Linked DNA regions of Rattus norvegicus. The protein of the gene in region 1 purifies or fractionates together with the protein of each later gene. This does not show direct contact. Links are inferred from orthologs where the notes say so. Each region holds a gene or a part of one and is shown on either strand. Other genes may lie near its edges.

Region 1 (14,932 bases):
TAAAAGGTAAATTCCTCAGAAAGTTACTACAAGCACTTGAAAATCACAAAAACAAACTCTGTACCTGCTGACAAATGTTCTTATATTGATATAATCCTTCCTTAGCCAAGTGGCTCTTACGAAGATCCACACATAGTTCCAAGTATTTCAGCATAATTGGCTCGTGTATCTTCTGCCATGTTCTGTGTTTCTTACTTTTCATAACATCATAAAGAACATCCAGGGCAGGCTGCTTTTTGCCAACCTCAAGAAATTCTGGGGGGGAGGGGAATCGAATTAAAATTAGCTGTACATATTATATAAACATCTAAATGACTGACCAAAGAAATTGACTCAATCGACAGGTAAAGGTCCTTGCTGCCAAGCCTGATTCTCTGAGTTTTATCTCTAGAACCCACATTAGCAGAACCCACTCTTAAAAATTGTCCCCTGGCTGCCACATGCACACAAAAGATTTTGTGCATGCCCCGTCACTTCCACAAATTAATGTAAAAGAACTTTAAAAATGCTTGCCTCTTTGCTGATTGCTTTAATTTGTTGACTTAGTTCCCAACTTTTTTTCTTTACATGTTTGGCTTCTAATAGCAATCCTATAATCACTCAATGTATAACGGTAACATGATCTGAAAATACTATATGTGGAAGAACTCAGTGATTTTAAAATTCCAGAAACTGAAATCATGGATGGGAGAATCTCCCATAGTATCTAAAAGTTCAAGTATGACTACATCTCATTTCTATAGCTGAATAAATTTCTGAATAAATTTTATTATATTATTTTATGAAGATAGATTGTCTACTTTAAGACCAGTTGACTACATTTAAATTTACTTCAGGACCTTGCATTCCATCCGTTCTCAAGGAATTTAGTAAAGTGTTAGAATTGGATAGTAAGTGCTCCTACTTTGCCAGTTGGTATCCATTCTCTAACATAGATATTTCCATACCTATGTTTCCATAAAACTTTTACAACCATCTATAAAATAGCTTGCTAAGATTTCGACTGGGATCACACTGAATACAGGTTTAGAGTTGGAAGTTATGACAGTCTATCCACCCCTAGTCATGTAATGGTCATGACAAACTAAATGAAAAGGGTTCATGGGTCTGGGAAAGATGGCTCAATTATCTGAGTCCTAGCTCCCTCACTCAAGTAGTTCAACTGCCTGTTAATGTTCAGTTCCGGGGGATACAATGCCTTCTCCTGGCCTCTTTCAACAATTCACACAGCATGTATGCACACACTTTTTCTTTTGAGTAGAAGGGTCAAACCATGGTCTCTCTATAGAAAACAACTCAAAAATAAACCTTTAACAGCTAAAAAGAGCTGCTGAACTTAGCATCACATACACCTTTAATCCTGGCACTCCAAAGGCAGAAGCAGAAGCTGAGGAAGGTAGATCCCTTAAGTTTGGAACCAACCTGGTCTACAGAGACTCAGGAGTCCTAGGGCTATACATGGAGACATGAGAAAGTTCATGGCGAAGTGTGATAAGTTTTGTTTTTTTTTTTTTCCCTCAGAGCTGGGGACTGAACCCAGGGCCTTGTGCTTGCTAGGCAAGTGCTCTACCACTGAGCTAAATCCCCAACCCCAATAAGTTTTTTAAACACTTATTAATTTTATCTTATGTGTATGTGTATGTTTTGTGCTCCAAAAATGTTTGGAACTAGGGTTACAGGGAGTGTGTCAGCTACCTAATTGTATACTAGGAACAGAACTACAGTCCTCTCCAAGAGCACCAAGTATTTTTAACTACTGAACCATGTACCTAGCTCCAGAAATGTATTTTTAAAATTAACTTTGCTGGTCGGTGGGTGGCACATGTCTTCAACCCATCATTCAGGAGCCATAGGCAAATGCATCTCTTAGTTCAATGCCAACCAAGATTAAAAGAATTTCAGGATAACTAGGGCTACAAAGAAAAATATTGACTTGAGAGAAAAATAAAACTAGTACTTTAAAAACAATTATCAAGAGAAATACTCATTAAGATTCAATGGTATAAATGTTTGTTTAAGTGTTCTCCTAAACTTTGGATTGACACATACTCCCTAACCAAATACTATTAGGAGTTGGCCTTTAAAGAAACAGCAGGATCAAAGAGTTCCACCTCTAAATGCAACAGGTAGCTTTTATACTAGATAATCTGATAGCTTCCTTTTTGTTCTCTCTTATCAGACAAGGGAACACTATTAATCTCCTCTGGATAACAGTAACAAGCCAGTCAGTTCTCTCCACATACGGATCCTGCTACCTTATCATGGATTTTTTTTTTAAAGCCATCAGAAATAAGAGAGATACATTCTTGGTTTTGATAAAGTACCCAGGATGTGCTACAGTAACACAAAGGACATTCTACAAAATGCAGGAGTACTTCTCAAATATGTGATGATGAAAGGAAAAAAAATAGAAAAGTCTGAGACACTGTGACAATGAAGACATGACAACTAAATGTGATGTGGTGTATGGATAGGATCCTAATGCCCAATAGGGAAACTGGAACACAGTCAACACAGGCAAATCTGTGAGTTGGAGGCTGGCTGGAGCTACTGAGTTCCAGGGCTACAAAATTAAGATCCTACCTCTACAAAAAAACAAAATAAATGAATAAATAACTTCAGTTGATGACTCCTTAGTTATAAAAGATGTAACAGATTGTAGATGTTCATTAATGGGAACTGGATATGATGAAAACTGTGCTATCTTTGAGAATGATTCTATGCAACTGAAACTTGCTCTATAAAATTTAAATTAAGGTTTTAAAAAATAAAAACTACAGGACAAAAAACGGTTGACTTTATGAGCTTGAAAGCATTGTGTGTAAATAACTAGATCTCCAAATCTAGCTGCCATATGTAGCAACTTTTCAAATTAGTCAACAGAAAAGACTCTAGATTAAAATGTTATCTTAAACTTGTAGTGGTTTATGCCTCTAATCTTAGCACCTGGAAAGCTGGGGAAAAAAAGCAAAAAATGCTAAATTTCACACAAACACAAAAAACTTTCACTTGGATATTTAAAACTTTTAAAGGAGTTAAGACACTAGTTTTGTTATCTCTCCCTTTTTTAATGTTTATTTTTCTCCTAAAGAATAATATTGGGGGCTGGAGAGATGGAACAATGGTTCAGAGCACTGACAGCTGAATTCAATTCCCAGCAACCACATGGCAGCTTACAACCATCTATAATGGGATCCAATGTCTTCTGGTACACCTCAAGACAACTAAAGTGTACTCGTATGCATAAAATTAATCTTTAAAAAGGGGCCAGAGATAGTGGCCCACACCTTTATCTAGTAGGTAGGCTCAGGCAAATGACCTGAGTGTCAAGTTAGCCAGCCTAGACTACGAAATAAAATCATCACCACCACCCTCTAAAAAGATAATCTTGAACAATTTTTTTTCTTTTCCTGAATAAAGTTGAATTGAGTGGAGAAGCTCTACCTTTAAACAAGCATGTTAGTACCCTTGGGTTGAATCCCAGTACCATTTTTTTTTTAAATGAACAGAATTGAGGCTAGAGAGGTGGCCAAGAGCACTTAATCCTCTTTTAGAGAACCCCAAGCTCTATCCCCACCACCCACATTGTGTCTCATCACCATCCCAGGACTGATACCCTCTCTCTTCTGATCTCTGTGGACACCAGACACACATGATGCATTAACACACACACAGACAAAACACTCATACACATAAAGGCCTATAAAAGTTTATTATTTAGAAGCTTACTAAACTTACAGGCTTAATGACTCTAGTTTCAGGAATGGTGCGTCCCAGTTCTTCCAGTGAAACAATATTGCTCTAATTCTCCCACATACTATGTTTATACTTGATCAAATCACATACCAAACTAATAACCAAAAACCATAGCATACTAAACATACCATATTAAACATCTTTACAAAACATCCCGACTTCATCCTATGGTTTTTCCTCCAGTGCTGGAGACCAAACCTAGGGGCTTGTCTCCAGTGTACCAGATCAAGACACAACCCTAGCCCTACTCCTTATATCAAATATGCAAACCAATACAAACACCTCCATGTTATATGTGGGGAAAGACCATCTTCACTTGGGCCACCCGGCCACCCCTGAAAACTAACACCAATCCTAAATGACACAAGGAAGTACAACTATATTGAAACAAAAATATCTTCCTGTTTTAAGTACTACCCTCTTCCTGGAAATGTGCCAAGGGTTGTTTTCCATGTTATTTAGACATTTTTCAAAACAATTTAACCCAAAAGTCCCTACAACAACAACAACAACAAAAAAAAAAAAAAAAGAAAATCAGTAAATACTGTAACAGCTAGATAGCTTAGCAATTTAGAACACTGGCTACTCTTCAAGGACCTGGGTTCTATTCCCAGCACCTACATGGAAGTTTACATCAATAACTCCTGAATCCCGATTCGGTATTTCCTGACACCCTCTTCTGACCTCCAAGAGAGCACTACTTGCATATAGTAATAGACATACATGCAAGCGAAGCACTCATACCATAGAAATTAAAAGAAAACTTGTAACGGCAACATTAAAATGACATTATACCTAATCCCTAACTTTACAATAAGGATTTAAACTTTAAGCTATTAGTGTTTACAATATGAAATACAAATCAAGTTTAAGTTCAGTACTAACCCCATGATAAAATTAAAATGCAAAACACTGGAAATATAAGAATAATCCACTTTCCCAATGTGTAATTTTTTAAATAGATATAAGGTGTCTTTACTTCTAAAAAAATACATTTTTTGTTTTTTACTTTATGTGTATCAGAGCTTTGCTTCCATGTATAACTCTGACAGCCTTTGGTTGTCAGAAGAGGATGGATCCCCTTTCAACTGGAGTTACAACTGATTTTAAGCAACTGTGTGTACTGGCAACCAAACCCAGGTTCTGCCCACAAGTGTGATTTCTTCCTGTCACTTTTAAATTCTTGCTTAGAAATTTGATGTTGTAGAATCAAATCTCTATCATTTGCACTGAAGGAGGTTGAAGTAATAAGATCAAATTTGAGAACAATCTGGGCTACCTAATAAGGCTCTGCCTCAAAAAAAAAAAAGTACAAAAACAAATAAACGTTTTATGACAGAATTAAAGAGTCATTTTCTTAATGATAGGTTCAAGTCCAAGCCCAGAAATCTAGCTTTTAAAGTTTCAAATAAGGAAAAAGACGCTCACTTGAATATAAAACATCTGCTTGGTGTGATGAAGCGATGAAGCATGCCTTTCACCTCAGCATGAGTTTTAGGGCACAGAGCAGCTGAGGACCCCCCCCACACACACACACACACACTCTCCTTAAAATCCCCCACCCACTAAGAAAAGTAAGGGGAGGGAAAATATAAACAACGAACTGAAATTCGAACAAACTCTTCATGATGATCCATGGCTGTGACTCGTCCTTACTCTTACAACTGAGACTGAGGTCCTTGAAATTACCTAATTAATATTGTGGGAAGGCTTTTGCAGCTAGAAGGAATTATTTCAACACTTAGTTGATTTCAAGATTTCAAGTGTCTATAAACCAAAATCCAGAATTATATGTATTATTAGAATAGGCACTCTGCATTTATCTTTAGGATTTGACTGAAACCATGTATCTACCAATAAAGAAAAGACTCACATCAATCCTTCATTTTTCACCAATTCCTGCAACAGATTAAGTATCTAAGCTATAATGTTACTACTTAGTTGTGGGGTTTCATAATATCAGTTTTACTTTTTTTTTTTTCTTTTTTTTCCGGAGCTGGGGACCGAACCCAGGGCCTTGTGCTTGCTAGGCAAGTGCTCTACCACTGAGCTAAATCCCCAACCCCTCAATTTTACTTTTTAAGGCTGAAGTTGTAGAGTGTAAGGGTAAAAGGCTTTGACATTTTCCCACCCCCTAATTACAGCTTAGAGTGACTTGAAGGGCTATTTATTAAAATAATGCAATAGATTAGGTCTAAATATCCCTGGGGCTACAAATGCTACAGATAAAACGTTTAGGTAAACAGATTTCTGAGGAGTGAAAACCCATTTTATCATCTACTTGTTTTATAAACAGCACCATGTGAGATAAGACAATCTGCTCCTGTCAAGTTCCTTGGAAGCTAAGGTATTACTCCTTAATATTCTGGCAACTGTAATGGGGCTGCACCAAGAAGTCACTACAGGTCTTAGGTAAAATGCACCAACAAGACCTAAGTTAGCCACACTGTACCACAAAGTACTACCCTACTTTGCTGATACTTTCCCCAGATTACTCATCATTAAGCAAGTCAACTTAGAAACTGTGAAAAGGAATTTAGAACACATTATGTAACCTTTCTGCTTTAAAAAGTTATTGAAATATTAACCAAGTTCACATGAAGATTCCAAACAGGAGAGAAAAATAGGGTCAGCATGTTACTATGTATGTATGTAGGCCAAAGACTGTAGTGCTTTAGCTAGACTACTATGGGGAAAATGACTGCTGCTGAATGTTACAGCTTAAACATATATAATAGCTATACTTAGTATGTCTGTCCAATTCCATTTTCAACACCACAACGTGATTCTAAGTTTCAAAACATCAAAAAGTCCTAAATTAGCTACAGTTCTAATTTCAATAATAAATTAGTGCTAGCAGTATTAGGTTATCCACGGTGCATTATTATTCTATTCCAGATTGCCTCCACAAAATAAAAAATATAAGTATGCAGCCAACACATCTTTATTCCTGACAAATTATCAGCAGTATTCTTTTGTAAGTTTTGACTCAAATGGCCTTTTCATAAAATGTGGCTTCCACTTCTAGTAATCTTGCCAAACACAAAACCGGCAACATAAATGGTTTATGTTTGGACTGGAGGAGTTAAAAGGGACACAGATACATAATTATCAGGTTTTATTTTAAAAAACAAAAAGCAGTTTTTAAAGGTCAGATCAGATATATGCACACGACTTTTCCACCACAATATCAGAGATCCGGGCAAGTCTTTCCTGCAAGTGCCAGGCTTAATTAAGCACACGTATGGAAATAGAAATAGCACTCAGTGGCACTGCGGTGGAAGGAAAAAAAGACAGAAGAGAAAAAGGGGGAAAAAAAAAAAACCCGAACTGGATATCGAGAGACCTTGATCTTAAGTTTCCTGACACTTCCAAGTGACCTTGGGGGAAACCACTCTTTCTGGAGCTTGTCTGGGGAGGATCATTTTTAAATCCCTAAAGAATATTAACTTTTAATGATTCGAAATACTTTCGAAATGACCCTTATCGAATCGTGGGGAGGGAAACACCACACAGGAAACAAGTTAATGGAGTAGAGGCCTGAAGTGCAAACTAGTAGTGAGGCAAGTAGACCCTGACCCAGAAGGCCTCCGCGTGGGATCTGGAGCCAGACGTGCCGGAGAGGTGGGGTGGAGGTAGACTAGCCGGGCTCCCGACCCCGGCGGGAGGTGGAGCTGAGGTTCTCGCGTGCATTGTCCCCGGGAGGGAGCCATGTTTCCTCCTCCCGGCACTCCCAGATGGCGGCAGGGAGCGCGGGGCTTCCCAAGCAGTCCACGGTCTGAAAGGCCAGCAGGAGGCCGATCGTGGCTAAGAATCGCAAGATCAGAGAGATCTGACCCGCGGGCCGTGGCCCTCCGACGCAAGCCTTGGGCCGCAGCCAGTGGACACACACGGGAGCGACGGTTCCTGATCCGCGCTTTCCGCCGCGGCCCGCTTGAGTAGGGAGGCCGTGTGAGACATGGCCGGGTGGCGGCGGCCGTGACCACTGGCCTCCACAGCCCGGGTGCGGGCAGCAGGAGGGGGCCCTCGAACTCCCAGGCCTCGGGCCAGCCCTGCGCGGCGCGACCCGCTGCCTTACTCACCGTTGGCGCGCTTGAGGGCATTTTCCGGCCTCTGGAAATAGGCCGGCATCTTGGCGGTACGCTCAGTTCACCCGGCGTCAGCGAACTCCCTAGTGGCCTGGACCGGGAGAGGAGGCGGAGGGGAACTAGCGCGAGCTTCCACGCGCCTCGCCAGCAGTCGCCCGCGCCCAGCCGGCCAGAGACGGAAAGGAAGGAGCCACGTGATTCCCTCGCGGCGGCAGCGCCGCCGCCCGAGCCCCGGATGTAAGAGGCAGGCCTTTGCGCATGCTCCGCCTTTCTCTGCGCGCAGGCGTGCTGGCGTCGCGAGCGTGAGCTGACGTGGCGATGGGTGCCGGGCAGCGAGAACAGTTGTGTTCTTTGGGTCGCGGGAGGGAACCCCAAGAAGTTTTCTCCGGCCACCACTGCTCCAGCGGACATAGGGTGGGAAAGGAAAATCTGCGGTCAGATCTGCGACTAAAAAAGGCAGTGTCTACAACAGTCATTCCCAAAATGACGTGCGCAGAATCTGGCCGCGTTAAGGTCGCAACGGCTGTGCGGAGACATCGCCTGGAAAGGTTCAAAATACTTAACGGAAGTGCTGAGCCGGTATCGCTGTCCAGTGGTGTTCGTTGCTAAGAAATAGGGCACCAGTCGCTTAACTGACAAGGAAGGGGAGGGAACAAGCAAATAATAAACAGAGTTATTTGGTATCCTTGTAGGGTTAGCGTCTCAAGGATTCCTGAAAGAAGACGAGCAGGGGCAGAGCCACCTCCTTTGAGTAGAAGACCCAGGAACACAGATAGAACCGTCTTGTATAGTGTTTGAAAATACGCGAGTGTCATCGATTTTTACATACAACTCACGTCACAAATACAAGAAATGCGTGTTGGTGAGGAAATGGCTTACTGCAAGCCATGTCTTTTATTGCTACCTAACAAATTTAGTGTTCATAGATTAATTACTATGCTTAGAGCTTGAAAGCCATTTAAAACCGCGTCGAATTCTGAGGCTCTTGGTAGGAAATTAACTTGAGTTCAGGGCTGCAGATGTAAAGTGGCTGAGCGCTCCTCTATCACGCACAGGCCCATAATCCCTGGCACCACACAAAGGTTCAGAGAAAATTCAGAAGGAAATGAATAAATTATTGCAAGTTCATTATATATTTTACAATAATATGGGATATGTAAATTAGTGAGATAGTGTATCAATGAATGAGGAAACCTTAAAAAGAAAAGTAAAACCTTAAGCTCAGTGGGAACCCACACCTTTCATCCCAGCACTCAGGAGGCAGAGAGAGGCAGATCCCTGTGAGTTCGAGGTCAGCCTGGTCTATAGAGTGAGTTCTACACAGAGAAACCCTTTCTCGGAAAAACAAATTAAAACTATTTTTAAGCTATTTAAAGGTCTGAAGAGATACTAATCTTGCAGAGCACTTTAGTTCAGCTCTCAGCACCCACGTTAGGTTGCTCATAACCACCTCTAATTCTAGTTCCGTGCGTATCTATCATCTCTGGCTTCCCCAACACTTACATTCACATGAACATACCCAAAGACACAGACACATTAAAAACAAAGAATACTTTAAAGTTGATTTCAAGAGTTCTTCCTCCAGAATACTTAGACCATGCTAAATGCACGAACTTTCACCTCCAAAAGCAAGTACCAGACAGGACTGATGTAAAAGAACATCTAGTGTTACAAGCTTTAGCAACTGTTTTATGGGCATGATCAAGGGACTTCTTTGTGTATATTATAATTAAGTCAAATTTTAAAAGTCAAACATAAAGAGCAAATGGTTCCTTCTTGAAGTTTTTAATTACATAATAGGCTAAAGAAAGATGCAAACAGTAAAATCAAAAGAAACTTGGTCTAAATATCAGAAAAGGCTTTCTACACATTCTCGATTCCTTTATTACATCAGAAAATAGTAAAAATAGGAGCTGAAAAAATGGCTTAGCAGTTAAGAGTACTTTCTGTTCCTGAAGAGGATCCATGTTTGATTCTAAGCTTCCATAAGGTGGTTTATAATCATCCATAACTTCAGTTCTAGGGTATCTGACACTTTCTGACCTCTACAAGCAACAAGTGCACAAACATTCAAAAGGCAAAATAGTCATAAAAGTAAAATGGGTTCAGCATTACCTATGTAGTAGGCCCACAGTCAGATAAGCACTAGAAAATTAAAAAAATGAAGTGAAATGAAATATCTCTCATACTGATAATTTTCCCTTCATGTTATTTAAAGCATAAGAATCATTGGTGATGTAATAGCCAATGATCATGTAAGTGCATTAAAAAGAATGAGACAAATTAATTGTATACAGTGGCTGGTATCTGGTCCAAGCCACTCAAAGCCTAAGACAGAAAGATCACTAGAACCTCGGAGTTCAAGCCAGCTGAGCAATAAACAAGACACCATCTCCAACAATTACTTAGAGTCTGGTACTCTTTGTTAATGAAAGTAATAATGTTGATTACCAGGGGTAAATACATTCCACCAACAGGTTTTTGGTACCAGTTAGCAGCCATAATGTTGAGTGTTAGAGATGTTAAGATTCTCAATGCTTGGGGTTGGGGATTTAGCTCAGTGGTAGAGCGCTTGCCTAGCAAGCGGAAGGCCCTGGGTTCGGTCCCCAGCTCCGAAAAAAAAAGAAAAAAGAAAAAAAAAAGATTCTCAATGCTTCCTTTCAAAGAATTAATGATTCCCTGATAAAAATAGATGTTTATACAATGAAAATCAAGATAGGATCTAGTTGGACCAAGAGAAAAGCATAATTATCTGCTGATTAATGCTCATTTATCAGAAAACAACCATTCAGGCCTGGTAAAGGTTGAAGGATTTTTTTTCCTTCTCAAGTTACTTCTTGTACTTCCTGTGATAGTTTCTCAAATACAATGCAGGGGGTTTTTTGAGAGGGGGTTGGTTTTTCTCTTGTTTTACTTTTGAGATAGATCTCACTGGGCAATGAAAACATTCCAAACTGGCCTAGAATTTTCAATTCCCCCACCTTAGCCTGAAGTGTGCTCAAACAACAGGCATGAACCAACATGCCTAACATCACATTTATCATTTTATTTTCAAAAATATAACAATATTCTTATAAGCTTACAGACTATCATTCAGAGTAATGCACTCATTCAACAAATCTTTATCAAGTGTGTACCATGTGCCAAGCATAACAAATATACATTTCTGATAGGTGTGAGGGTTACAACAGTAAATAAAATAGTCTAACTTCCTAATTTGGTAGAGTCCTAGGAAGAAGCTGTACTTTATTCACCATAATCTCCATGAAGACAGACACCACTGCAGAGCAGATTCTCCTATCTGCTCCAGGCCCACATACTGTATCTTTCAGTGCCCTAAAAGGCCCTGCCCATCTCCTGCATCACATCACTTCACTAGGAACCAGTCATTCCATTTTATTTTATCTTATCTTATTTTATTTTATTTTTGAAACAGTCTCACTATGTAGTCTGGCTGGCCAGAAACAAGAGGTCCACCTGTCCCTGCCTCCTAAATTCTGAAATTAATGACTCCTACCCACCTAACCCTACCCTTGCCTCATTCCTTGTTTTTTTTTTTAAGATTTATTTATCTATTATACATAAGTACACTGTAGCTGTCTTCAGACACACCAGAAAAGGGCTTCAGATCCCATTACAGATGGTTGTGAGCCACCATGTGGTTGCTGGGATTTGAACTCAGCACCTCTGGAAGAGCAGTCAGTGCTCTTAACCCCTGAGCCATCTCTTCAGCCCCCATTCCTTGCTTTTAAAACCAACCTTCTCATTCAGGTTTTGCTTAAATGTCACTTCCTTCAGAAATCTTCTTTGGCACCAGATAAGGTTAGATGCCAAAACTACTTTAAACATTAGCTGAGTATGATGGCATATGCCTTTAGTCCCAGCACTCAGGAGGCAGACTTGGGCATCTATGAGTTTCAGGACAGCCAGGAGTACAAAAAGAAAAGAAAAAAAATATATGTGTATATACATATATTTATAAATATGTAAATATAAATAAAACATGTCTTATCCTTTATCATACTTAAGAATGGATAAGGATGAAAATTTTCTATAGTTCACTGGTGTATATGAATGCTTGGCAAAGCAACAGTCAGATAGGCTGTTTACAAACTAATCATGGAGGATTAACAAATGAAAATCCACATCAATATTTAAATAAGACTTTCCAGTTCTATCTGTAGGGAAGAACAAGGTTAGAAGCCCAATATATGTCATCTTTAGTTCTTAGCACATATGTCCATCTACTTCCAGTTTCCCATATGCTTAAACACAAGAACACAAAAATAAATGAAAATACAGGGGACTGGGGATTTAGCTCAGCGGTAGAGCGCTTACCTAGGAAGCGCAAGGCCCTGGGTTCGGTCCCCAGCTCCGAAAAAAAAAAAGAACCAAAAAAAAAAAAAAAAGAAAGAAAAGAAAATACAGTTTTCTCTACAGAAAGCTCCTGGATACACCAGTTCTAAGCTAAGTTCAATTGTGATTTTTCTGAGTGTCCAAACATAGTGTACTTTCCTATACCCAATTATCAACCACTTAACACAATACTTCAGGCTCCACTCAAAGTGCTACCAAATCATTCTGCCTGACTCCCCGTGTTCTTGGCCCATAACCCCATTAAATTCCATCACAGGACCCATCGCTCTGGCCACCCTGCCCATCCTACAGCCCAGTGAAAGGGCTGGCTGCGTTCCTCCTTCAGTCTACTGCCCCCAGAGGGGAGATCAGACACCAACGACTGCTTCTCAGTAATGACTCTCAGAGCATTCTCTTTCCCTCCTCCCTGAACTCTGAACTTTGAAGCTCACTACTTTCAGATTAGTCCAAAGCTTCTTATGGGATTATTTAACCGAATGTGGTAGTTGCAAAATGTTAGGCAGCAGTGAAAGGTTCCTGAACACACACAGTCAAAAATTAATTTAAAATCGAATGCATAGTAAACCTGGGGCTGCTGGCAGAGCCAGCCCATGTTGCATCATACACCCTTGGTTCTGAACATGTGCACTTTGCACATTCTTTTATACCCAACCATGAAGAAAGCCTGGAAAACGCTAAAATTAGGGCAGAGAGTTGGCCCATCGGTTAAAAGCACTGGCTGCTCTCCATCAGACCTGGGTTTGATCCCCAGCACCCACTTGGAAGTTCACAGCCATCTATTCCTCAGAGCCGGGATCTGACAGCTTTTGACTTCTTGATGGAACTAGTCACACCAGTGGTACAACACATGAATTTCATGTGGGTGAAACACATGAAATTTTTAAATGAAAAAACATTTTTAAAAGATCCGAAGTTGGGCTGGAGAGATGGCTCAGTGGTTAAGAGCACTGACTGCTCTTCCAGAGGTCCTGAGTTCAATTCCCAGAAACCACATGGTGGCTCACAACCATCTGTAATGGGATCTGATGCCCTCTTCCGGTGTGTCTGAAGACAGTGGCACTGTACTTACATACATAAAATAAATACATCTTTAAAAAAACCTGAAATTAATATTTATACAAGAAGTTTTACTTATTCATATAGGAAGTTTGCTACTCTTAAAAAACTAATAGTTTAATTACAAAAATGAAGGCTTTTAGTATTTCCTACCATCATTCCTCAGCATATATCAAATTAGTCTATCTTTAGATTGTATTGTGTTAGACAAACAAGCATATCAACCTCAGTATGCAAATTTGCTTTAATCTTTAATAAAGTGTTGAATCTATATACATACCAAAAATTGTTTTAAAGATCTTAATGATTTATCAGTTTAATTTTTATACTTATTTTATGTACTTTGAACCATGTAAAAGTTTCTCAAATGAAAGGGATCAAAAGTGGTAAAAGTTTAAGAAATCCCTCACTAGACTACCTGATAATCCTCCAAGTTACAACCCGAAACATGTATGAATCCCAGACAATGCCTTTCACCCCCAGTCTGGGGACATGTGAAGAAGACATTTAATAGAATTTGAGCCCAATCTTTGAACATGTTAGGCAAGTCCTCCAGAACTGAATTATATCCTCATCCCTCTTGATTTTTTGAGACAGAGTTTCTCTGTGTCACCCTAAACTGTCCTGGAACTCACTTTGTAGACCAGGCTGGCCTCAAACTCATGGAGATCCACCTCCCTTTCCTCCAGAATGCTGGGAGTAAAGGCATGCACCACCATGCCCAGGATCCCAACCCTCTTTTTACCTTTTGTTTTACGATAGGGTCTTCCTAAATTGCTTAGACAGAGTCTTGAACTTGCAGTCTTCTTACACCAGCTTCCTAGGTAGCTAGGATTACAGGCTGGGTTGAACTTGCTAGGGGCTAGCAAGATGGATCAGCAGGTAAAGGCTCTGTGTACAAGCCTAATCTGAGTTCAATAGACAGAACCCAAGTAACAGTGGAAGGAGAGAAACAACTCCTGTATACTGATGTCTGCACCCACACAGTAGCTTATGATAATTTAGAATTTTCATTCCTTCAAGTCTGTATCTCTAAACTAGAGAGATATGTGTGGTATATCTACAATCACAGCTACTTGAAAAGCTGAGTCAGGATTATGAGTTCAGGTCCATCTGGGCAATATAATCAAATTCTGTCTCCAAAGAACTCTGCTTCCATTTTGCTACCCCTCATCCTCTATTTCCTCCTCCTTTCCCAACTTAGATTCTCTCATTGTTGGTGATATATATATATTTTTTTCTTTTCCAACTCCTCTCACTTTATTATCACCTAAAAAACTGCAGGTCAAATCTGACCCCATACTTCTTCCTGCAACCAGAATTGGCTAGAAAAAAATATGCAGCCATGGAAACACCTCAAATCCCAAACCAGAACCCTTACAACCCCTTAGCTATTCTTTTGAGCTTCTCTAAGTCACTGCCCATTTTTCCAGCCCAGTATCTCCCACCCTGTTCCCTGCTGTGCCATTTAGCAGGTTGGCCTCTTCTGTCTGGAACCCAGCTGCCTTAGTGTTGCACAACCTCCACCCTTCCCTGCTATCTGGCTAAAACCACCCTGCATTCAAACACTTGCTCCCTCACACAGACTTGACCACTTATCCTGAGAGTGTTAGCTTCCAGAACTTGGGAGCATTTTCTCCATATTGGCTTCCAGG
Region 2 (14,832 bases), on another chromosome or scaffold:
GGCTCAGGAGTGGGAAAAATTACCTGCTGTCAAACCCAAGGAACACACACACATACACACACACACACACACACACACACACACACACACACACACACACACACACACACAGAGCGCCTGGCCACCAGGTGCCTCTGTTAAGAGAATGCCTCTAGCCTCACCTGGTCCCCAACTTTGTGTGCGATGACAGTGGCTCCTTCCTCCAGTTCTGTACTGTTGAGTGGGCGGATCCGAAGCGCCACCTGTGGACAGGGCACGGGCAGCACCAAGACCCTCAGCTAGACTCCCACTTCCCATTTGCCTGTGCTCAGTGAGCATCTCCCATTCATTCACCCCCTAGACTCGACTTGCACGGAGCTGTTCCTGCCTCCTAGAGAGGCTCTGAGGACTCAGTGGTGACATCACTCCCATGGAACACAGAGGAACAACTTGCCCAAGGTCACATAGATGCCCATGTTAGCTGTGATCAGAAAGGAAACACCTTTATGAGCATTCAGGAAGGGAGCCTGTGTTTTGCATGTCCCTCAGTTCTGCCAGCCTCTGTGTAACAGTATCCTTTGATGATACCATAGAAGACACAAGGCCAGTTTTCTCTTAACCAGTCACAGGTGGCCGGCTGGGTTCTATGAGTTGAGGGTCCAAGGAGCCTGAATGAGGCCTGCCCCATGGCTGGGGTTGTAGTTCAGACCCTGGGCTGAAGACAGAGGTTCAGAAATGGGGGTACAGGTGTCTAGAGTCCCACAGTGAGAAAGTAGGATAGTATCTCTGGGTTCCAGGAAAGGAAAAGGTGAACCAGAAGTGGAACACTGTTCCTTAAAGGCTAGGAAGACTGATCTGAGCATGGGTTTGGGGTTTCTCCTCAGGGGTGGAGAGGTTGGGAGAGGCTGGAGAGGTTAGCAGGGCCATGAGAAAAGGGACTCACCATGAGCTGCTGGTCCTTGGGTTCCATCTCCCTCAGGGTTGGGCTGCCCCGAGCAGGAGAGGGGTCTGTGGTCTGTTGGGAGGGCATCCTGCAAGTCAGAACTAGGGGCCCCCAGCTAACCAAGCTGAATCGGAGGCAAGGAGAGCCTGCCAGCTCAGCCCTGCCCTGCTCCCCAGGCTCACTCTGATGACATCAGCTGGGTCCCCAGAGGTGGGGCTGGGCCAGCATTCAGCTCATCTATTAACCTGGAGTCACCCCTTCCTGTCTCTGGCCTGGGCAGCCCTTGTGGTTTGAGTACTCCGAAAGCAGCCAGGCAGACCTCAGAGAGGCCACAATAGGGATCTAACAAGAACTCTGTTCAGCCTATCTCTAAGCTCCCTTATGCCACAGGAGCTAGAGCCGAGCCCACCCTACAGAACCTGTAGTGCGGAGCCCAAGAGCACTGATTCACCCAGAGGGGCCACCTGAGAACAGCAGGCCAGTGTGTTTGTCGCTCTACCTGAGCAGACTAAACAGCAGCTGATGCCAAACATGACCATTTCAGCTGGCAGCGATCTTGCCAGGGTCTTTCATAGATAACCAAGTTCCTGGTGACACGTCCGGCCTTTGGTGTCCATTTGCACACCCAGTGTGGGCTTTGGGATGATCTGGTGGACTTACTGCTTTACTTCCTCCACAGGATCCCTCGGGGGACAGTCCTGCCCTGTGAATGTGCCAGCCCAGCGAAGACTGCACAAGCAATGTCGTGCAGGTAACCTGGGGTGGCAGGAGCTATTAAGAACCAGGCTTGGGGAATGGTAGGATGGCTCAGCAGGTAAAGGTACCTGCCCTGAAGCCAGATGTTGAGTTCCAGCCCTGGGATCCACAGTGGAAGGAGAACCAACTCCTACAAGTTGACCTCTGGCCTCCATATGCATATAGCACACATACAAAATATGTAAAAAAAAAAACAAAACAAAGAGCCAGGCTCAGGAGCTGGTTCAGCGGGGGAAGACACTTTGCTTACAAGTCTAGTTATCTAAGTTCAACTTCTAGGTGCACACCAAGCAGAAAAACCTTCCTACAGGTTTCCCTGACCTCTACAAGCATGCATAGCATGCAAATAAAACACACACAAAATTAAGTAAAAACTACTTTTTAGAAAGAGTCATGTTTAGCTGGGTAGTGGTGATGTGCACCTTTAAGCCCTGCATTCAGGAAGTCTGCGAGATCAGCCTAGACCCAAAATATTAAAAAACAAACAAACAAAAAACTGTTTGGCATTCTAAACACTGTCCTGCCTTTTGGCAGAAATCACAAAAAGGGGCTGGAGAGAGGGCTCAGCAGGTAAAAAGGTACTGACTGCTCTTCCATAGGACCCAGGTTCAATTCCCAGCACCCACAGAACAGGTAACAAGTGTCTGTTAACTCTAGTTCCAGGGAATTCTGGCCTATAGACCACTGTACATGTAGTGTAGTACACAGACATACAAGTATAAGACACACACATTAGAAAAAAAAAGTTGCTGGGTAGTAGTGACACCTTATCTTCTCAAACATGGTTTCTCTGTGTAGCCCTTGTTGTCCTGGAACTCACTGTAGAGCAGGCTGGCCTCACACTGAGAAACCCACTTGCCTCCTGAGTACTGGAATAAAGGCCTGCATGCCAGCGCCTGGCTGTGGCACATTCCTTTAATCCCAGAGGATCTCCTGAGTTCAAGGCCTGGTCTACAAAGCAAGTTCAGGACAGTCAAGCCTACATAAGAGAAACTCAAATCTTGACAAGAACAAAAGGAAGCTATAGACTGATGCTATGAGGACTTGGGCTGAGAGCACTGTGCCTAGAGCTCAGGCTAACAACACTTGGGTCATGGGAAACAGAAGTTCCAGGCTCCCCTGAAGCAAGCCACCCCTCTCTCAGAAATCAAACTGATCAGCTGTGGAAGGCCAGAGTGACCTCTCCTTAGATTACATTCCTCCTTGGTCAACCTTGGAAGCCAGGAAATGCCTGACGACACAGGGCAAGAAAGATTGGCTGGGATTAGGGCCCAAAGGTACATCCCCACCCATCCTGGAGCCAAGGCGGAGTTTAAGTCTGTAGCTCTCCTAAACCCTCCCAAGCACTGAGCGGTTGTCCTGGGGCAGGAGCTCTCCCTAAATTCCAGCTGCACCACACAACTGCTTTTACTTACAAATCACAGAAACAAATCACAAAAACAAATCACAATCAAGTTTCAAAGTGAAGAGCTATGAAACTAAAAAAAAAACAAAAACAAAAAAACAAAAACAAAAAAGACTGTTTAAAGAACACGGGGTGGCCAACGCTGTGGGGTAAACTGAAGAGGCCTGCAACCATGATCTAACTGCAGAGAGGTCAAAGGAATAAAGAACCCAAGACACGGGAGGAATGGTGAGCCACCTCCCAGTGAAGCGTGAGACCACTGATCTGGTCGTCTGCTCCATATGCATGGCCTGTCCTCTGCTAGATGTACATGCTCTACAGACATGGGATGGCTGCAGGCCCTGCGGGGTGGCTCTCTGCTCACCAGAGGTGCAGAGGCAGGTGGGAGCCACCTGTGAAATGCAGGGAGAGCAGCACACACACAGCTCATGCTGGGTGAAGCTCACCTACGCCTGTCTGCTGTCTTCTCTGCTGGACACTAGGTAACCTCACAGATACACGTCAAGTGGCTGGCCCCCTCTGTACCCGCCTTCCAACCTGTCCAATGTATCCCGAGGTTCCGACACGCAGGCTCTCAACAACCACCCAGGAGCAGTGCACACATACCCCCACCTCACCCTAGGGAGAGGGAAGGGGCAGGCCTCCAGGCCACTTTGAGCTACAGAGAGATCAGGACAGTGTTTCACACAGGGTTGCTTTTATTTCCACATCCAACTTGAGCAGAGGCCCTGCCACAACCTGAACAGCTGTGAGGTGCTGGGTGCCTCCAGAGTTTCTGGCACAGTAAGTGTTGGGTGTGCAGACTTCCTGATGGCCACATGACACTGGCCCACACAGGAACAGCAAGTCCATGAATGGAAATCCCACTGAGCTGGAAGTGGAGGCTCTGGAAACCCCATGGGCAGCAGCAGGAGTTAAAGGAGCCACCAGGAACACTGCAGTGAGGCTCCAATGCAGACAGGGCTGATAAAAACCCAAACAGGGCATTGTGAGAGCAGAGGCTCGAGTGTCCCCGCTGAGGACCCGGGGCTGAAGGCACAGAGCTGTGTCGGGATGGAAGAACCCTGGGTGCACTCGCAGTCCAGAGCACGAAAGCACAGGTGAGAACCCAGCCCGAGGCTCTCTGTGAAGAGTGTGGCCTTGGATCTTGGGCACGGCACAGTGACACTGCAACAGATGAACCAGCATTTAGTCAGACACAGAGCAAGGGACCACAGCTGGATTCTTTACTGAGCACACTCCAGGCCTTGAGAGGCTTCATTCTCTCTCCTGGTTCCTGAAGGAGCCCAGCACTAAGTACCACATGCAGGCAGACAGACACTCACTCCTGTACTGTAGCCTGTACCAACAATATCAACATGGGTGACAGTGCTGTGCCTGATCTGGAGATGGTCATGCCCGCCTCTGCTTCACCCCAAGCTCCTACAACCACTAGCGGCAGCACCGCCATCTTCCTGGGGTGTCTTCTCTGTTGTGGTCTGACAAGCAGTCAAAGACTCATCAGCAAACCCATCTTCATGTTCCCAAGTCTTACCACAGTGCTGAGGTCACTCCTGACTTCCCAGAGGAATGACCTCTTCAGTGACAAAAAACTCAATGGTCTCTTCCTCCCAGTCATCCACGTTGCTGTCCAGCTCGTCAGTGTCCACCCCTGAGAGAATAGACAACTGACTGACCCCTGGGACATGGCTGCAAAGCCGGTTGCAGGGCCCTCGGGGGGACCACTCCATTTGCAGACAAGCCCAGAAACTTGGTTACCTCCCCGTAGCTCTAGACGCTCGTTCTTCTGCTTCATATAGAGTTCCTGGGCCATTTTTCGGTATTGCCTGAAGTCCTCCATCATGGTCCGCCTTCTTTCCACCAGTTCCTGTCAGGTAGGGAAGGTTGTAGGGCTAACCAGGACATTCTTAGGGTTTTTTTGTTTGTTTTGTTTTTGGTTTTTTTTTTTAAAAAAGACTGTGTACACAGTGCTCTACCTGCATATATGCCTATACACCAGAAGAGGGCAGGAAATTACATTATAGATGGTTGTGAGCCACCATGTGGTTGCTGGGAGTTGAACTCAGAACCTCTGGAAGAGCAGCCAGTGCTCTTAACCACTGAGTCATCTCTCCAGCCCCCATCCAGGACATTCTTGCTCAATGACAATGGTCCTGCCCTATGTAGCACCCATTGGTGAGTGCAGAAGATGTCAGTGCCTTGTGTGCCAGACAACCCTTCTGGAGAGCCTCCCTTAAGTGGGACCTTCTCTTCCTAATCATATCCCTCCTGCTGCTAGCAAGGAAAAGCCAGCCTTTACTCGGTGTTAGTGGGTGCTGGTTCCAAGGACCAGTGATGGCCTCTGACCCCGTTGCTAGTTACCCTTCACAGCGGGAGAACAAGCCAGACCAGGCTCCTGGCACTCCTTCTGACTAGTGTCCAGGGTAAGATAGAGATGGGCTCCTATGGGCATCCCCCTTAGGCTCACCTTTGAAGCTTTGGACTGGCTCAAGCGATCCTTCTGCTCAAAGATCTTAGAGTATTTCTTCAGATCCTTTTTAATTTGCTGAAACCAAGACAAGTCTCTCAGGATTGAGCCTTCAAAGCAATATCCACAACTGCTGTCACAAAGATGCCATGTGCAGTGACGACAGCCTTCAGGACCAGCCCCAGGGCACCAGCATGCCCAGATCACTCATGGAGAGGATTCCTAGGCTGAGTCACTCCCGGCTCTGACCTAGCACCACAAGCCTATCCCATTACATAACCCCTTCTGAGCTCTCCCAATCCCACTGGAACTTGTGCACAGCCTGTCTGGCTTAGACTGACTGTCATGGGTTTTCTGAAGAAGTGGGGAGGGGGAAGGGAAGGAAGACATGATAAGGTCATCTTGTAGTGACCCCAGAGTCTGAAAAGAACTCGCCATCCTCCTGCCTCAGCCTCCTGGGATTATAAGCACTGCCTTACCTGACACAGCTTCAGGTCAGGTCTCATTGGTCCTCATCTCAGAGCCCTCTCCATGCCTACCTCCTCCACTCCCCACTGACTGCCCTGTGCAGTCATAGATGGACAACCGTTCCCTTACCCCAACTAGGCAGGGAACACAGACCTTTATCTGATCCTGACTGAGGAGTGTTGGGGGCCTTGGTCTCCAGAGCAGCTGGCAGAAGCGGTCCTTGTTGTTCTTCTGGAGAAGACGACCTTGGAAGGTCCACAGCCAATAAGCATTGTCCACCTAGAGGGCAGTGGGGCCCATCATGCAAAATGTGCAAGGCCACCCTAGGACCTTTACTCTTGGCAGCACAGCACCAACCTGTGCTCTGGTTGCCCAAGACACAGCACAATGGAGACAGAACCAACCCCTGCCCCTCCTGCAGGGGCCTGCTGATCACTGGTCTATGACCAGAACCTTCTACAGCAGTGCCAATCAGAACAGCAGCAACTACAGCTTAGCTTTCCTGGCAGGACTCTTAACTGAGCTCTGACTCAAACGCTGGGCTCCCTGCTGCCAACCCGCTCTTTAGGAGTTGTGTGAACTAAATGGCCCAGTCCCACACGGGCTTGGAAGACTCTCACTTCCTTCCCTCCCCTTTTATGGAGGTGGGAGATGCTGGGGTAGAACCCAGGCAGCTGCTATGCACTGACATTCCCAGTCCTACAAGATGCTAAATTAAACAAGTGTTGGGATGGGCTGTGCTGCACTGGCACTTGGGATGGGTTCCAGACAGCACACCCTGGAATGAACGAACACAGAGAGTGCTATGCCAGATACTACTCAAAGCCATCTGGCAAGCAAGAGGTCATCTCATCAGCTGGAGCCCTCTGAGCTCACAGGTTTTGTTTGCATGGACTGGCTCAATTGTCCACCCAATGGTAAACACAGGAGGCAGTGACCCATGCTCCAGCAGGCCCTGCCAAGCAGACATGCCCAATGCTCTAGCAGCTGGCCTCTCAGCAGTGAGTTTGAGAAACAGTGGACCAAACTGTCTCCCTAAGCCACAAAAGTTCGTGAGTAATGCCCTCTCACCCTGGGGTCCCTGGATACAACAATCCTACAGAAAACAGTATCTGTCCCTGGCCCTGAGAGACTTCATTCCCCAAGGGCCCAGCACCTGCCATCGTCTACCTTATGGCTCCACCACGACACAGAGGTAACCACATAGCGGCCAGTTGGGTCCCATTCGACGTCGGAGGCCATGTAGTGCTCTGCAATGTTCATGACGGTGCAGTCTGAAGTGTCGACAAACGCCAAGGCGCCATTCATGCTGTGGGATGACAGGGCAGCTGTATCCCACAATCCCCTTGCACCCTACTGAGAGGTCCAATGCCCCTCACTCCAACTGAGTTACAAGGGTGAGAAAGGACCAAGGGCTCTGCTGGGCTGAAGTTAGTTCCCTGGGCCCTATCGCCCTCACAGTGACAAATTTCCCAAGGACATGAATGGTGTACTCAGTGCTCTGTGGCGTCTAGAGAAGATGTTGTGTGTGGAAGCGTCCATGGTGGGAGCAAGCCACAGTAGTCCTTCCCAGCAGAGGGCAGGGCTGGACTTGCTCACTACTCCTATGTGCTCAGCTGGAATGCAGGGGAACAAGTGAAAGGCACCCCAACCAGAGGGCAGGACAGCCTCCAGCTATGCATCTGTCCCACTGGAAGACGTGGGATTCACAGGAGGGGTGCACGGCTACGATCACAGAGGACATGTCATCTGCAAGTCACTACTTCAATCAGCCTGGTTTGGCCAGAGGCTTGGCTGTGATAAATATCTAGTGAGATGATGCACTCCACCAACACAAACCATCAGGAGCAGGACGCTGCCTTAGCGGGCAGGGCCCCAACCCACCTCCTCAGCCCGGCCAGTACCACGAACTGCCCCTGGGGACTCCAGAAGATGGTATTGGCTTGCTGCTTGTCAAACATCTCTGCAAGGAAAATAAGTTCCTGTGAGGGACTGTGCCGGTGCCTCTCCAGCTAAGACACAGTGCCACACTGGTGAGGAGAGCTGACAGAAGCAGAGTGCACATACGACTCCAACACAAACCCACCAGCCACTTTGGGAGAACTATTTCAAAATCATACCCCCGCCCCCGTTCAGTTATGCCTAAAGTCATGATGCATGCTTCTGGGTGGTGGCTGCTGGCTATTACAGAAGTCTGGTGGATACTATTTTCAGCTTCACAGGCAAAGACTGCACTGACAGCAAATACACTGACTCATCTCGGGAGCCCTTAGTGTCCACCAACAGCACCATGGGCCAAGCTACCAAAATCACCATCTTTCAGTGTGCTTACAGAACATCAAGCAAACCATCTTCCCAGTCACCCTGACCCTGGGTGAAACTGACAAAGCAAATGCGGCAATAACCCAGGTCACCCAAAGCCTCTCTCAGTCTTGGCAAAACAGCCATCTTCCCATATGGGGGGTGGGGAGGGGAGAGTCTCACATTCACAGAGAGCTGCAGGACAAATGTCCCATCTGGCCCCAAAGCACAGAGGAGCATTGACTGTGACCCTGGTGAGAGCTGAATCACAGAGATCCGGGGGATAAATGACACGTCTCCTGGTGTCTGTTATAATGGGACAGAAACCTTTTGATTGTCTGCAATTGTCCACCTCTTACATATCCAAGAGAACCAACACCAGAGTGGACTTTACAACACACTAGCTAATTCTGTCACAAATGGTTAGACCCAGGTGAAGGGAAAGCACACTGTTCACAGAAGTCCAAGGAAACCATGGTATGACTGCTACAGCAGAGGGAACAGGGTAGCTGGTGTCCTATAAAGAACTTATGAAATACAGCCTGTATTTCCATCCCAGTGAGGGCAACACTGTGGGTTTAGGTTCAGCTTGCCCTAAGCCCTAACCCTGCTGTGGGGCTGTCACAACAAAGACAAGAAGAGTAGGCAGTAGCCCTTTGGGAGTCTAAGCAAGGCCACACGTGGCCCCCATGCCAAAGGGGAGTGTCTTTTAGGTGAGCCCTGCTGCAGGAAAGGGAATGAGAACACCCCTTCCTGCCGGAGCCGAGCAGAGGACTCAAGGGCTAAGCCAGGCTGAAGGGCAGGGGCAGTAAGGCCCAACTTACTGACTCACTCCAGGCTCGGTGGATATGAAGTATGTGCCCCCTGTCCTGAGTCATCCCAACCTGCTATCATCTCCCGCACAGCTAGAATCCCGGCCCCTGAGCTCTGCAGAGAGAGGCCAAGGGCAGACTACTCACTGATGAGTTCAATCTTCCCATTGCTCTTCACGTGGTAGAAGGAGACAGATATCCGAGGGGCCTCACCATGAAGCACAGCAAACTTACTGCCATTGGGTTCCCAGGCAAAGGCTATGATGGTCTCTACAACCAGCAGGAAAGAGGAGTCAGTTGTCCTAATCTTTCATAACAAAATCTCCATTTTCAAAGATCTTCATTCAATTGGAGAAAAGCACTCCTAATCTACTGGCAGGACCACAGATCAAAAGACAGCAAAAGCAAAGAGAAGTCAGCAGAGTTCAAAAGCACTTGGTTTATCTGGTTGGGATGTTGTGTTAATAACAAGTCCAAGCCAGCCTAGAACTTGGACTGTTCCAGCCCTGGCTTCCTGCAATCTATGATCACAGGCAGGTGCCACCAAACTGTCTTTCCTTAACTGACTTAAGGACTTAACAACTTAGCTGTGGTCTTCTATAGTGAAACAAACTGAAAGCCAATGAGAGGCACAGGCACTAAGACTAAGGATGGAACTAACATATGAGTAAAAGTACATCAACCTTTATGTTGCTGGGCGGTGGTGGTGCTTGCCTTTAATCCCAACACTTTGGAGGTGAAGGCAGGTGGATCTCTATGAATTCCAGGTACCAAAGAATACATAGTGAGATCCTGTCTCAAAATACCCCACTTAAAAAAGAAATACTTTTATTTTTTCCAGAGAGAAAAAGGGAAGGCAGGCCAAGCCTGGTGGCACAGGCTTACAATTCCAATACTCGAGAGGCCAAGGCAGAAAGATTGGTGTTCAAGAGCAGATGGGCATAGAACGAATATATTTCAGACACAAACAAAATCAGTCAAAAATACAACCAGCAGGGGTTGGGGATTTAGCTCAGTGGTAGAGCGCTTGCCTAGCAAGCGCAAGGCCCTGGGTTCGGTCCTCAGCTCCAAAAAAAAAAAAAACCAAAAAACAAAAAAACAAAAATACAACCAGCAAGAAGCTCTTCAAGGTAACTCCAGGCATGGTGTGCCCCTGTAGCCCTATAATGGGCAGGAAGGCAGGCAGGAGGGTCCTGTGGCTAGCCAACCTAACCTATGTGCAGATCTAACCTAGGTCAGGGTGATCTGGGGTAGCTGCTCTTGCTGAGATCCCACTTCAGTACGCCGCTCTGAACACCTATCTCACATAGAAGCTGTACAAGACAAGGGCACGACGGCCCTTCCTGCTTACCTTTCATCTCAACAACGTCAACAGGAACCTGCTTCTCCCTCATTCGGAAGATTTCAAAATTTGTGACAACTCCCTGTTGACAAAAGCAAAACAGGAAGGGTAATTCTCTGGAAGGTGAAGGCATGAAAATATGGGGGTACAAATAATGATCAGACAGAAGACAGCACTCACTCACCAGCACACCCACAACCCTGATGTGGTGCCGAGGCTGGTATGACAGCATAGCCCAAGCACACTCTGCAGCACATCTACCGGAGTTTACCAGAGGGAACGATGGATTTGCACACTGTAGAGCAACCTGCACCATGACCTTCAAAAGCACTAAACCCAGCAGCAGACTCAGTAACTACTCGCCCACCTTAATGCCAGCCCACTAACATGTGGATGCATGTGTGTGCTGGAATACCAGTCAACTATGAAAAAGAATAGAATGAAATGCTGATGCATGCTACAATATAAAAAAAGGTGAGGTCTGGGGCTGGGGATTTAGCTCAGTGGTAGAGCGCTTGCCTAGGAAGCGCAAGACCCTGGGTTTGGTCCCCAGCTCTGAAAAAAAAAAAAAAGAACCAAAAAAAAAAAAAATAAAAAAAAAAAAAGAAGAAGAAAAAAGGTGAGGTCAGAGAGGCTGGACACGAAGGGTCACAGGCTGCAGGGGAATGTTCCTAACAGAGACACCCAGAGAAAGCAAACCAGAGGCTGTCGGGAGTGAGGAGAGGAGAAGGATGGAGGCATAGCTCAATAGAACATTTGACCAGCAATCAGGGGGTTGTCTGAATGACACCGGCATAGGGACAAAAAATAGAAGGGTGGACCAAGGAGCAGTGTGGAAAGGAGAGGCAGCTTAGCATGCCTGTGTGACCTACTAAACATATCCAAAGTCAGGGAGACGGCTCGCCACTTAAAAGCATTTTGGTATATGAATTACATCTTGAGAACAATTAGTTGGGACAGGCTTGGTAGTGCGTGCCTGTGATACAGCACTCGAGGCTAAAGCAAGAGAATCACTGAGTTCAAGAATACCCAGAACCAAAGGCCAAGACCCTGTCAGAGTCAAGACCCGTCAGCAGTCAAGAGTGCTGACTGCTCTTCCAGAGGTCCTGAGTTCAATTCCCACAACCACATGGTGTCTCACAACCATCTGTAATGGGATCCAATGCCCTCTTCTGGTGTCTGAAGACAGCTACAGTGTACTCATTTATAAATAAATCCTTTTAGAAAAGGAAAAGCTTGGGTGTCACTGTGTATTCCTGGATAGTCTGGAATTTGCTATACAAACCAAATTGGTCTTAAACTTGGAGATCTGACTGCCTCTGCCTCCTGAGTGCTAGGGTTAAAGTCATGCACACCATCCCTAGACACTGTTTTTTGGATGAGAAAAACATAAAATTACATAAACAGAAGCACATTTGTATGCAGAAATGTGAAGTCCACCTGATTACCAGGAAAGCAATCTATCCCTTTCAGCTTCTAGTATGAGTGGCTGAGAATCTGAGGATGACACTACTGTATTTTCCCGTGAGCTCAGAACTACATGAAGTGATCAACCCTTAAGGCGGTAAGAAGACAGGATTGAAAGTCCTCCAAGTTCTAGTAAAGTGCTATGTCCAGATTGAGAGTCTCACATCATTATCTAGACATAGCTCACAGCCTCTCAAAAACCATGAATTAGAATTCCACACCCACACCCAGAATCTCAAACACATAGCAGTCTTGCGTTTGGCAGTGCTTGCCCACACTGAGGCACCACGAACTTCCCAGCAGCTGTGGTCTAGAGTGCCGTCAGGCTGAGGCTGCCTCAAGCTCAGACTCACACTGTTACAAGTTACAACTGTGTTGTCTCTACTGTACTTAAAATTTATTTCTTACCAAAAAAAACCAAAAAAACAAAAAAAAACCTTAATGGTTTAACTATTATTTTTCATCATTCTTCAGCATTATTAAATTAGTAGGGTCTCGGATTGGGGATTTAGCTCAGTGATAGAGCGCTTGCCTAGGAAGCGCAAGGCTCTGGGTTCGATCCCCAGCTCCAAAAAAAAGAACCAAAAAAAAAAAAAAAAAATTAGTAGGGTCTCTGAATTATATTGTGGTAGAGTATTTGTTTTGAAATATTGTCCTGTTTGAGTTGCTGACTTGAATTTAAAAAAAAAAAAAAGTCCGATTAATTCTACAAAATTTGGAAACTGCTCTAAACACTACATCTGCCCTTTGCTGTATACTACTGATTTAGGTGACATTCTCAGCACTGACAATTAAATGTTCAAAAACATCCATCAACTCTGAAAAACATTGCACAGAACCAAAAATTAGGCCAAGGTTTAACTTGCACAGGGTCTGGACAGAGAGGAGCACTGGCTGCTCTAGAAAACCTGGGCTCAATTCCCAGCACTCACATGGCAGCCCACCACTGTCTAACTCCAGGTCCAAGGGAGCTAATGCCCTTTTCTGGCCCCCAAGAGCACTGCACAAACAGACATACATGCAATTATGATGATCAGTTCATGCTGTTTTTTTTTTTTTTCTTTTTTACGGAGCTGGGGTATGCTGGGTTTTTAAACCCATTCTGTGCTTATAAAACTGGGAACAAAAATTTCTCGGGTGAGTTGGGGATTTAGCTCAGCGGTAGAGCGCTTGCCTAGCATGCGCAAGGCCCTAGGTTCGGTCCCCAGCTCCGAAGGGAAAAAAATTTATTTCTTACCAAAAAAAAAAAAAAAAAAAAAAAAAAGAATAAAAAATTTCTCGGGTGAAAAGCAATTACAAAAGTCACAGTTTAAGAAGCCATTAACCCAGCCTGGCAGTAATCCCAGCACTCAGGAGGCAGAGGCAGGAAGATTTCTAGTGTGAGGCCATCCTGATCTAAAGCATGGGTTCTATGACAGGCAGGGCTACCCAGAGAAATCTTGTCTCGAAAAACAAAAGATAACATGACAAGCAAACAAACAACGAAGCTTCCAGCCAGAATATCTTGAGGTTCCTTCACCTGACCAGACAGCTAACCTACAGTCTACACAACAAGCCACCCACTAACACCTCCCAACAGACAACTGCACAGGCTGGAGAGGCTGCAGGAGCTCAGATTAGGTCACTTGCACTCCCCCAAGCAGCTCACAACTGTAACTGCAACTCTAGGAAATATGAAGCTCTCTCCGCCCTCCCCAGACACTGCACACACATGGCTTTTGCGCACATACATACAAACAAAAATCAGAAAACAAATCTTCAGAAGCAGCAGCTCATTCAGAAGTGGCTCCCACAGCAAGCACTCACCTGTGTGCCTTTTGGAGTCCTGTCCACTTTTACACACAGGTAATCTCCATTTTTCTGCCAGTGCAGCTTGCAATCAACCACATTGAACAAATTCCTCACTCGGATCTCCTGTCTGGTGGGGAGCTGCATCAGGGTCACCCTGGCTGGAATATCTTTGTCTTCTGGCACCCAAAAGGCAATGATGTTACCACCCGGAGACCAAGAAAAGTCTCTATAGGACAAAGAGATAAAGTTTATGGGAAGAACAGATAAGGTCATATTTCTGAGCAGCAGACGGATGACCAATTTACTCTATGCTGGCGTCCTGGCCTACCTGCTGTGCTCTGAGCCTGGTGCACATCAGCTGTGTGCTAGGTGCTGTACAACACAGCCTGCTCACAGCCCTGGGGCACAGTCACACTGCTGTGACACAAGTATGCTGCTCACTGTACCCATCCACAGCCACCAGCCTTGCTCTTTACAAATGTACTTCAGGCTGGTGGCTCTAGCTGCAGGGTGTCTAAAGGTCAGCCAAGGTGGCAAAGGGGGCGGGGGGGGGGGGGATGGGACCTGCAAGTCAGAAGGTACAGGATAGGACAGGTGAACAATCTGTTCTCTATTAACTGCTCTGCAGGACAGACATGGGAGCCATGTGGAAAGCCTCTATAAACACATTCTTGTCTTCTATTTGGCTGCAGTTGAGATGCCCTGTTGCCTAGACTGGTCTCAAACTTGTAGACTCAAACAACTCCTCCTGACCAGCTAGAAGTGCGGATGCTCACCACCACATCCAAATCTGGTTCTGAATTTGTCAGATCAGTGCCCTGATTTTAGTTTTTGTTAAAAGTCCAAATAACATCGAGAAATGAAAAAGAAGACATGCCAATGTCCTCTGGGCCGATAAGCCTTCGCCACCGCAGGAGTGACCAACTCTAAATGACTTCAGATAAACAAATGTGTGCCCACTCACCTAAGACAGAATGAGCTGCAGTTCCTCGCCACACACCTAAGCCTTAGCCCAACAACACCACCCACCAGGGAGCTTTCTGAAAAGGATAAGGCACTGTGTCAAATCCCCACACAGTCCCTACTCTAGCTGGGCAAGAC

The links.
Region 2: the proteins of Eif3a (region 1) and Eif3b purify together in Homo sapiens (co-immunoprecipitation; 15 studies listed by BioGRID and IntAct, with this or other methods). This does not show direct contact. The link is inferred for Rattus norvegicus from reciprocal best matches to the Homo sapiens genes EIF3A and EIF3B.

Annotation. Positions count from the first base shown.
Region 1 is NC_086019.1:269,910,955-269,925,886, forward strand, and holds the start of Eif3a (eukaryotic translation initiation factor 3 subunit A), read right to left. Parts: upstream 8,072-14,932; 5' UTR 7,888-8,071; coding exon 7,839-7,887; intron 256-7,838; coding exon 65-255; intron 1-64. UniProt on the Homo sapiens protein: RNA-binding component of the eukaryotic translation initiation factor 3 (eIF-3) complex, which is required for several steps in the initiation of protein synthesis.
Region 2 is NC_086030.1:19,306,545-19,321,376, forward strand, and holds the end of Eif3b (eukaryotic translation initiation factor 3 subunit B), read right to left. Parts: intron 13,958-14,832; coding exon 13,747-13,957; intron 10,556-13,746; coding exon 10,483-10,555; intron 9,402-10,482; coding exon 9,279-9,401; intron 7,982-9,278; coding exon 7,903-7,981; intron 7,328-7,902; coding exon 7,189-7,327; intron 6,298-7,188; coding exon 6,172-6,297; intron 5,629-6,171; coding exon 5,551-5,628; intron 4,951-5,550; coding exon 4,842-4,950; intron 4,735-4,841; coding exon 4,631-4,734; 3' UTR 4,618-4,630; intron 4,251-4,617; 3' UTR 3,764-4,250; downstream 1-3,763. Other genes in the region: Kif19b (kinesin-like protein KIF19), read right to left, coding at 162-242, 923-1,009.